Arabidopsis thaliana: one gene and its partner. The protein of the gene in region 2 purifies or fractionates together with the protein of the main gene of each other region. This does not show direct contact. Each region holds a gene or a part of one and is shown on either strand. Other genes may lie near its edges. The genes, in order: GCP4 and GIP1.

The links.
Region 1: the proteins of GIP1 (region 2) and GCP4 purify together in Arabidopsis thaliana (affinity purification with mass spectrometry, with the first as the bait; one study listed by BioGRID). This does not show direct contact.

Annotation. Positions count from the first base shown.
Region 1 is NC_003074.8:19,917,297-19,924,384, forward strand, and holds GCP4 (GAMMA-TUBULIN COMPLEX PROTEIN 4), read right to left. Parts: upstream 5,217-7,088; 5' UTR 4,969-5,216; coding exon 4,799-4,968; intron 4,719-4,798; coding exon 4,421-4,718; intron 4,314-4,420; coding exon 4,177-4,313; intron 4,061-4,176; coding exon 3,962-4,060; intron 3,733-3,961; coding exon 3,612-3,732; intron 3,536-3,611; coding exon 3,263-3,535; intron 3,071-3,262; coding exon 2,990-3,070; intron 2,914-2,989; coding exon 2,830-2,913; intron 2,676-2,829; coding exon 2,589-2,675; intron 2,500-2,588; coding exon 2,444-2,499; intron 2,301-2,443; coding exon 2,118-2,300; intron 1,962-2,117; coding exon 1,736-1,961; intron 1,641-1,735; coding exon 1,552-1,640; intron 1,369-1,551; coding exon 1,215-1,368; coding exon of another isoform or gene 1,176-1,214; exon of another isoform or gene 1,139-1,175; coding exon 1,016-1,138; intron 943-1,015; coding exon 886-942; 3' UTR 524-885; downstream 1-523. Other genes in the region: ACT3 (actin 3), read left to right, coding at 10-75; AT3G53770 (late embryogenesis abundant 3 (LEA3) family protein), read left to right, coding at 6,032-6,093, 6,218-6,530. UniProt on the Arabidopsis thaliana protein: Gamma-tubulin complex is necessary for microtubule nucleation at the microtubule organizing centers (MTOCs).
Region 2 is NC_003075.7:6,037,290-6,041,034, reverse strand, and holds GIP1 (AtGCP3 interacting protein 1), read right to left. Parts: upstream 1,981-3,745; 5' UTR 1,829-1,980; exon of another isoform or gene 1,341-1,828; 5' UTR 1,330-1,340; coding exon 1,114-1,329; 3' UTR 1,110-1,113; intron 1,000-1,109; 3' UTR 809-999; downstream 1-808. Other genes in the region: CRP4 (ECA1 gametogenesis related family protein), read right to left, coding at 3,098-3,466. UniProt on the Arabidopsis thaliana protein: Required for gamma-tubulin complex recruitment to the microtubule organizing centers (MTOCs). During mitosis, modulates gamma-tubulin complex localization, spindle stability and chromosomal segregation. Necessary for gametophyte development and embryogenesis.

The DNA of each region.
Region 1 (7,088 bases), on a different chromosome or scaffold from region 2:
ATTTTGTAGATGTGGATCGCAAAGGCAGAATATGATGAGTCAGGCCCGTCGATTGTTCACCGGAAATGCTTTTGAGCTTGAAGTTAAGTCTGCTTCCGGAGAAGCCCTGGGGGTTTTCCAGTTTGTCCTTACTGGGTTTTTATCTTCGTTCTCTGCTCTTCTTTGTTTTTCTTCTTCAATATTTTCAGATTCTGGCCTAAGACATTTTGAAGAATTTACATTATCTGTTTGTAGTGTTGGTTAAACTGTTGTCTTGTTCCTTTTATTTATTTTGGATGACACAACTGTGTTTGAGTGAATAAGAACTCCTGATTTTTCCAAGTTTAGAGAGGTTATTTGATAATCTTCTTAATTTAGTCTACCTCTAATTTTTTAATTCTTTTTTGTCAATGTCTACCTGTAACTTTTATCATTGTCGGTTTTGTGTTATGCTACAGTCATACGTTATTCTTTTACTGAAGAAGAAAATATTCATCACTGTTCAGTGTTCACTGTTCATAAATCACTAACTGAAGACTCTTGATTATAGAAATTTTTGCAAATCACGTCATCAAGCTTATCATATTGTTAAAAATGATTAAAGAAACCACATCTACATAATTTACAGAGTATTACATCTATAAAGCACGAATTAAACACAGCACTAAACAGATTCTTGTGAAAGCCGGAGCACAGTACACAGATTCTTACAAAGGAAAGGCGTGTGAGCACGAACTCTGTCCACATATATTTATGTATATTCCATTGGTGGCGTCATGTCATCCTGGTTTGAGGATCAGACAAATGCTATCTTCTCGTGTCATAGTTGTTGCATTAAACCTTCGGATCAGCTCATGTCTGAAAAAGCTTCGGAACGAGATTCTTCCACCAGGACTGTCTGGCATTTTACAATGGAAGCGCTGGGCGTTGTCGGACAACGTTTAACACGCCCCTTGCAGTTGCCTGCTACCAGGAAAGAGAGACAGTGAGAAGCTCCCATTGAGAAAAACTTAAATCTTCTGATTGAAATCCTTACCTCGTAAAAGGAATTGAAGTTTAGACGTAAAAGAAAACGTCTCAAGAACGGGGCTCGCTGGCTCCCGGCGAGTTTGCTGCTTCTCAGTATGGTGTACAAGGAATTTGACTTCTTGTTGAATTCCTTAAACCGCAAGATAAAAAATTATGAGAGACCATTGTTACCTTTGTATGAGTATTACAGTGAAAAGATAACGCACCTCAGCTATGTTTTCAAGTTCTGAAGTGTTTGGGTTGCTTTCTTGATTCTCAATGTTCCAGCAGAACTGGAGACATAGTTTCATGATGCTATCAAGTATCCTTGAGACGGAACCAATGTCGAGGAAAGATTGAGAGATAAGAGCGGAGAGGTACCTGCATTTGTATAGTACAGTAGGTAAGTAGAGGGAAAAATTACTGAAAAAGATTTAGGTTCAGACTTGCTTCACAAAATAATAAAAAATCGAAACGAGAACCAAACACAGAAGAATAAATGCCAGGCCAAGTAAGTAGCATGAAGACTCTTGAAAGAGAACAACGAGCATTGGATATACTTACTCTTGATGGAAGCCAACGAGTTCAGTGAAATCTTGAGAATCGTGGATGTGAGTTTGCAACACCTTCCATTGAGATTCTATCACGTCAACCTTAAGACAAAGAGAGAATCAAAACATGAGAAGTTTTTTGTTTTACAAACTGGCTTATAACCAACTTTGAAATTCTTAGGAAACGTCGTCTTTACCTGAATGTAAAACTGAAGATTCCTTATCAAAAACGCCATGTGCTCTCTAACACGCCACATGGGTCGTATTCCTTGTCGTCTTTGTTGAGATGTTGATCCGTTTAAACCATCTTTTCGATGTTGAGCAGATTCTATATGATCTTGATGCATTACAGAAGCCCATGATTTCTCCAATTCCATCTGAGTTCTCTTTAGCCGTATCAAATATTGGAACACCTTGAGATACCTAACACAAGTTTATAGCTCTCAGAGAAAGCATCACATATTTCAAGTTCCAGCAGACAGCCGACTAAAAATTTCATAGTATAATCGATGCAAAAACTTTGAAAGTGAGAAAAATTAGAAGAAAAGAAGGATATAAGCAGTGCCTAAGGATTATTACTTAGAAAGCACTTCTTGAGTGAAAAACAGTTGCATGGGCCAATCAACAGAATACTCCAGAGCAATAGCGTCCCAGCCATCCACAGAGGTGTCTGATGTAAGATTTGCCTTCCCGGTGAGAGATACTTTAGATCTCACCATGTCAGCTTGAGAAGATCTGACTGTGACTCCAAATGAAGGCATCCTGGTGAGAATAGCAGTTAAATAGCCAAATTAAGGAACAGTTGGGAGAAATAGTTATTAATATGTGCGTCCCACTTAGCTCAAAGGCTCGACACTAAATCCATTAATACAAAGTCGTTAAGAAGAATTTGATGTGTTACTAACCGTAGGGATACCCTAGAGAAATACTTATCTTCCTCCGCAATGGTTTTTGTTGCAGCCTGTGTGTTCCAAAAGAAAGAACATTACAAAAACAATTTGACCTGAACAGAACTTTTATCATGAAATTGTTTAAGTTGTAACCACATACCAACTGAAACGGTACCATAAGATCAGATTCTCCAGTTGACTGGCGAGGTGGCAAACGCATCAACTGACGACTCTCCTCCAGAAAGCACTGAAATCAGAAAGTCTATGAGATGAGAAATTAAATGTCCACAGGTCTTTAACTGAGGCTAGTGCAAGAAGAGGAGGACATGAACAAGTGGGAGCGACATTAATCACCCTTAATTTTCATTTAAGAGCATCAACAGATAGATTATGTGGTTTACCTGAAAGAAATCTCCTTTTTCTAAGAGGAAATAATCTTTCAGAGCTTTAAGATGACCATTGAGATCAGCACGCACAACGACAAGCTGAAGAAAGGAAGGTAATGTGACCCAAAAAAATAAATCCAGAAGATTGAAGTTTAAAATGTTGTCAAGTGAAAACCTGCCAAAGATGACTGGCTGCTATTGCTCGAACAGAATCAACAGTGCACTCAAATGATCTCTTGTGAAACTCAGATGATTCCTGCACACAAACGTATAAATCTAAGTTTACAATCTGAGCTCTAATGTGATCCTAGGAGAAAGGCATATACTATCTCTACGCATGATCTCTATGCATGAGCAGTAGGATCGCGTGCTGCATAACCGAAAATCAACTCAGTTATTTAGATTGTTATACTTTTTACCAAAGATATACTGTCCAGTGAGAAAGTACCTTTAAATCTTTGAGCATAGCTTCAATCTTATCTGCCTCAGATTGTGGAAGCAACTCTCCCCCTGTAAGATCTGCATCTAACTCAGTTTCTGTTTCAGGGAAATCACTATGCATAAATCCTCGAATTCTCTGGGAGCCACGCATTGTTTGCTGAAAACTCTTGTCCTTCTGGAACTGGAAAGCAGGACTGGGATTTCGCAAAACCCTTATGGCTTTCCCCGCAAAAAGAATTGATTCACCAAGGCGCATAGGAATATAATCAGGTAACATATCCTGCAATATAAGCACAGAAAAATCAATAATATAGTAACAGTACCTAAATCAAAAGTGTAAGTGGCATGGAGAATACCAAAGAAATGTGAAATCCAGAGTGCCAATCAGTTAAAGATGTCTCATGAACTGAGGTACGAGCCAACTTTTCAGATACTTCTTCCTGAGATGAGCGATGATCTAAATCACCATCGTCCTGCCTACAAGCAAACCAGAAATGAGTTGAACATTCTTTGGAGAAGATAAACAGAAATCAAAGTGCATCTGCAGACGACGGCAGGCCATAATGTATCAATGCAAGTATACAGCAGATACCTAAGCAGAATAAATACATAATGAGGACCACTAATGACGACATTAAGAAAAACGAGATGGCACTCAGCAAATATCAAGATAAAATTGACAAAACGATGTAGATTTACAATTTACCTCTTGATGAAAAATTCTCCATGAGGATCCTGAAGAATGCCATAGACCATCCAAGCTGCAAGCTGATTATACATGACCTGATGTCCATTCCAAAGAAGCCTGCACGTGGATAAGGGAACAAGCAGGATACAAAAACTTTGACAAGTGGTGACGCTGGACTAAATGATCTCAGTTTACTGAAAATAAAGCCACTGAGGAACAAAGCTAGTGAATACCTTTGGAGACAAGTCCTCAATTCAGGCACACCACAATGACATCTTTTATTCAATACATTAAGAAGCTGCCCTCCACGAATATCATCACGCTCAATCTCAAGAATTACCTCATACAGGGGCGGGAAAAGAACGAAAAACTAGACAGAAAATGGCATTGGACTATCAATAAACACAAATTCATTTGGCAAATGCTAATCTCAATCATCAAGTGATAAATGTGTTGGTATTGTACTAGAACATGTACCTTATTGAGCCCCTCTGTAACCGTAGCCAGAATAGGCGTAGTCTCCGCCAATAGCTTCTGTTCAATGTGAAGAACCGCAGATCTATAGACCGAAAGAATCTCCCCAATTCCATTAGCAATGGCTCTACGGTACACGCTAGGCTTCTTCTCTCTACTCTGCTTCGACAATTCATCAGCCCGTTCCAACGGATGCACACTGGTCACAGACCTAATCCAGCTCAAATTGCGAGACTTCTTCGCAAACCGGTCGAGTTCTCGATAGTAGAACCCTAACTTGATCAACCTTTCGATCAAGTCCCTGCAAGGAAGCGCATCAGAGTCACTAGAAATCAAAATCAGCGGCCAAATTTACCAGATCAGCGCGAGCAGAGACTAAACCTTTCGCTGGGTTCGATGAAGGAGATGTCAGGAGCGAGTTTGAATGTACATTCATCAGAAAGAGGTGAATCGGAGTTGAAAGCGAGGCCTAGGGTTTTCCGTTGCTCACGCTCGTCGACGATGAGATCGCCGGTGAAGCCTAAGAGAGCTAGAAGAAGCTCGTGCAACATTGGGAAATTCACGAAAGACGAAACTGCTAAATATTTTTTGGGGGAGGGAAATTGAAAATCCAAATGCCGTCACTGTCGCCGGACTTGTTGGTTTACCGGTGTAGTTCAGTGGCAAATGGTGTAATTTCATGAGAAAACAAAGGTGTTTTGCTAATTTAGAGAGTCTCTTTTTCTCTTGTCTCGGGTCCACTCGAAAGACCCTTTATTCGGTTTGGTCTTTCCAATCAACACCAATTCGATATGGTTAACCAAACCAAAACTCTATCTAAAAATCCGATATGAAACCGAATTAGAGAAAAAATAAAATCCGACTATGTTTTAAGAACCGTAGTCGAAACCAAACTTGCTCGTGTAACCACTAACCGGCACCCGGCAAGTGGAGAAAAAAACAATTTACTTGACCAATTGTAGGGAACAAAGGTAGTTAAGCTAAGCTTGATTAAGTCAAAATTCTTTTTTGCTACACTTCTAGTTGAGCCAACAAAAATGATGCTAAATTATATTATTCGAAGAAAAGCCATTATCTCGATTGACCCTTCAAATAATTTGACCGTTCAGAGAAACCATTGAATCTTGATCGTCTCAGACCTTTTCACATAATATGTATAGACCAATTCAAAAATTGTTTTATGTTTAGTTAGTTCACCGTTATTAAATCAATAAATTTGATTTAAAAATTAGCACGTACGCTTAAAACTCTTTAAAAATTGAAGCATGATTAGGTCATTGTCCTGGTTGTATATTTTTCGATGATTTAATCTGACTTCAGGTCGAGCAAGGGACTACTACTTCTCTTTACACTATAATTTTTTTTTTTTTTTTTAACAGAACCTACCAATACTTTAATTTTTTATTTTGTTCCAAAGTCTGATCAACATTACAAAGTCAAAGTATTAGTTTATTCCAACAACAACAAAATTGTTATGATTAACAAATTCCCTATATACCTATATATAAAGCTATATCTTCCAAACGTACATAAACCAACTCGCGCGTTCATAAAATAGTCTATACAAAAATCCTCTTACACTTAATCTTCTTCATAGGAGATTTGAGAGGATTAATGTCTCAATCACTTTTCAATCTCAAAAGTTTATCTCGCTCGATCAACAACACAATCAGAATGTAAGTCTATCCATTTGTATAAACCTTATGGTTTTAGAAAATACTGTATATTGGTTAATTCTTTTGAATATGTTGCGTTGTAAACTAAATGAGAATTCTTTTTTTTTTATAAATATTATTCTAGGAGAAGATACATTGTGATCACAAAAGCCTCTCAAAGGGCATATACAATTGGAAGTAGTCAAGAGAAGCCATCGTGGGCATCAGACCCTGATACCGGATACTTTAGACCCGAGACCGCTGCAAAAGAGTTAGATCCATACATTGCAAAAACCTCTCAAGTTCAAGGTAAAATGATGAGAGGAGAAGAGTTATGGTGGATGCCTGATCCTCAGACCGGATACTATAGACCAGACAATTTTGCCAGAGAGCTTGACGCAGTTGAGCTACGGTCTTTGCACTTCAACAAGAATCAAAAGACGTACGTAGTGAGCTAAATTATCTCTACATGCATGTGTGGTTAAATAAAATAAAAAACTTCTGGTACATTGATTTGAAGTGAGAACTCGTAATAAGGTTTTGGCAAATTATTTGTTTGCCTCATTGCTTCTTAGTTCTTATTTTTCTAACGCGAGACGCATCATTGTTTAGTCATGTTGACTTTATCAAACAACATGATTTGTTCAAGGTTGCTTCCAAATGTTGGGTTTTATCTGGTGAATCTTTTTAAAAACAAGTTGTCACGTATTACTATTAGTTATCTATATAAAAAATTCCATTCCAAATTTCTGTTATATATTTTACCAAATGAAAGATCTCCATGCCAAATTTCCATTTTCAGATTCTAATCAATAAAAATTGTTTGAGAGAGTATTACAAAAAATATATCTACATATTCTTAATTTATTTTTCATTTTACGAGTGGTCTTTCTATAAAAAAACAAACATTACGAATTTACGATGTAAATTGACCTTAGTAACAAATTAAAACGAGAGAGATATCTATTAAGTAATATATTGAAGTTAGAAGAGAACATAAGCATCAAAGCCGTCTT
Region 2 (3,745 bases):
GACTTTCCGATCACTCCTAGCTTCCCCTGACCTCGAGGCCGCAAGATCCCTTATAGGAAAAAAGGAGAAGTGTCTCTATGTTTGCTTAAACTTAAATAAAAAACCTGGCTGGTTCGTACATTCCCTTTCTCCCAACCAGAAACTGATACCAGTCCCTTCACTTCCTAACTTTCCTTACCAACATCCTAGTTCTTCGACTGTTGTATCACTTGGTTCAGATATTTACTTGGTTGTAAAACTCATCATTTGCGTCAACTCCCCAAGATGCATGTCCCTCGAGAAGAAGCATGTTTTAATGTTATCGACGGTAAGATCTGTGTTTGGAGGCATCAGCAGTAAGTATTATGACACTGCTGAGAATTATGGAGAAGTTTACGACCCAAAGACACAGACTTGGGAGCCAACAAAATGTACTGGAAGATTTTCTCGCGAGAAAATTATTGGTTTGTGCCCTACTGTTTGCTTGTTAGAGTCAAAGAATAACGTATGGTGGACAGCGAGGGTTTCTGAAACTCGAAACTAGTCTGCGGTGATATATGCACGTTCACGATTAGAGGACTTGAAGAACCGTCCTCTAAGTATCTTATTTCGGTGACAAAACCCTGGCCTGAGGAAGGAGAGTGATAGTTCGGTGGAAGACTTATACTAAGGAATGTAAAACGGAGATTTGGTGTGCAGAGATTTTGATTGAGTGTGATTTCCCTCTTCGGGGATACATAGAATGTTTTTACCTTCCAGGGGTTGTGAATCAGATGATCCCAAATTCCTTTTGCATTCTGCTTTAGTGACACATGATCACTGAATTTTCTATGAGCTTTTGAGAGATAAAATTACAATTATATACTTTTTTTTGCATTCTGCTACTTTGGCTTTCAAATAACGGTTCATACAAATAAAAGAAGTTATAATTCATCCATACAAATTTTGTTTAAATGATACAAAAAAAGTAGTAACAAGATTCACATACCAACCACAATACTTGTATAATCCATTGCATACCTGCAACATAAATTTCGACCGGTCGATATGTTAGATCTGAAAACAACAGAAAGAGGTAGACTTGGGCATAGACTCGTCAATCATCATTAGACTGAGAAAATTCTCAATACCTGATCAGTGTATAGATGGTGTGGTTGTGACAGAATCGGGGATAGACTCGCGACGAAGCTCTTTCACAACAGTAGCTAGAGCTTCAGGGTTAACACCAAGATCACAAAGAGCTATGAGAACTGACAAAGTATGCCGGTCCAAACCCGTGTCCAAGATGTTTGACATGCGAAACACAAGCTCTAGTGACTCTCTTGCTGTCCGAGATGCCTCCTCATCCATACTGATCACACCTGTTAAACTCCACAATTTTAAAGTCCTAAGGTAGTTAGTGAATTATAGAGTTTCTACCAAACCAAATTAGACAAAAGTAAGTGAACTATGATCTAACAAGAACCAAGTCAAAGACTCTTAGGTGATTTTGACATAAGAAGTTAGAAACTAGAGTCTTATAAATTACACAACAACATTTCAAGCTAGAGCTTTGTAGTGAAGATACAATGCTCACACACACAAAAGTGAGTCAAATTTGTTTCAGAGCCCAATAATATTATCTGATAGGTGAACAAGGATTAGTCTAATAGATCAGTTAATACCAAAACCAAAACACAACCCAGAAACATTCAATTCAAAAGAAATGTAATTCAGATGAAAAATGAGATTGAAATTAGGGTTTTTATGTCGGCGGCAATTTGCATAACATCGAATAAATTTCAAATTTTTTATTTCGAGACTAAGAATTAAGGAGTAATCTGATAGAAACGAAGATAAGAAAACTTACGTTTAGAAACGGAATTTGCAAAAATAAAGTATGAAGCTTGGTCTTGGAGATAGTCGCAGACTCACAGTGTGAAGTGAGAAGTGGGAGACGAAGGGAAAGGACTTGGAGGTCTTTCAATAAATGTAAATTGTGTTATGTCAAAAGAAAAAAAGTTTATTGTCTTTCAATAATCATATTAATATTCTAAACAAAAATATGTTTGAAATATAACTCCGACACTAAGATTGATAGTGTTAATTTTTTTTAATGAATTATACTAATGAAAAGAAAATAATATAACTCTGACACAATTGTTTTTCTTTTTTAACATCTGAAAAAAACAGATTTTTTATAATTGAGATAAATCATATAGAAGATGTTTGTTTTTAATATTTTTTTCTCGAACAAATGCTTATTTCATTATATAAGAAATGAGTTTTCAAAATTATTAACTCACGTGTCAAATTTATTAATAAGATATTCGCACATGTCAAATCAAATTTTTTTATATTTAAAAACATAAATAGAAATTTTTTCTAACCTTATTGAAAAAGAAATATATACATAAAGTCAAAAATAATGTTTCTATATTCAAATTTTTTATTTAATATACTAAACTATTGAACTAATGAACTAATTCTATTAAAATTGATATATTCAAAACAGAAGTATAAGTTCTTTATTTTGTTTTGAAAAATATTAATATGTGTTTTAATATTTTCTAATAACTTAAATATGTTTATTCTTTTATTTTCTTAAGTTTATTTTTTTCCCTCAATTATATCGTTCAATTTGTTTACAACAATATGCATCTAGAGGCTCCGTTGCGTCCGTCTTTTTCTTGATGTTGTATGTCGTCAGTCGTCTTTGTCTTATCTTTGTGTTGTACTCTGAGAAATACCTTATTATATGTAATCAATAAAAGCATGTTATATAGAATCTATAGAATGTGTAAGATTAAAATTTGTATTTAGAAAATACAGATTACTATGTAAAATTTAAATCTCGTAAAAAATTATTTAATTCTCACAACTGTCTATTTAGAAGGGAATTATCTAATATAATTCCAAGTTTTGAAACATTGTAAGACAAAGTTAATTATAGAATCGATGTTTCAAGCTGTTATTCATTAGAATTGAAGAATGAGTAAATATTGAACCCAAATACAACTTCTCAAATGTTTTTACTTTATATGATATTTTTTTGGAGTATAACATGTAGCGTAAGCTAAAATTGTAAGAAATAAATTGGAAAAAAAATTATCTATTTAAAAAATAATAATTTAAAACTCTATTTCGGTGTAGGAGGAGTTACACCGGCAATTCTTGAACATTGTTCTTTTAGCATCGGAGGGAAAAGCGGAATAAGTGGAATTTTTGGTATGCAGTTGGCTTCAGCGTCCAAAAATGCTTTGCAACAAGCAGAACCTAAATTACTGAATTTGCCAATAAAAATGGATTGAGAAATCTCTGCAATGCATTCAGGAATATCCATCACGGATGACCAACATTTCGTTATATCAGGTAATCCTGGCATTCCAGGAATCGGTTGAAACGAAAATGGAAAAAGAAACGGAGCCGGAAACTGAGGTAACTGAGCATTTACAGAAACTATGATGCATAGAACCACTAAGAGTGAAAACACATTTTTGATAGGCATAATGAGAAACTGAGAAATAAAAAAGCCTTAGTATAGCCAAATATATGCTTAATGCTCTGTTTGTTTTTGATTGATGAACAACAATAAGATTCCTGCTTATTTATATGGAATGAAATGTAAAACTGTGATATTAATTATTTTAATAACATCTTTGAATGGTTTAATTAGGTATTTGATTAACAGTTTTATAAATCAAAATAAAGACGAAACTCCAAGTGTAAAAGAAGCAACATTAACTAAGAAATATTGATTAAAAGAGAGAAAATAAAAGTATAACGT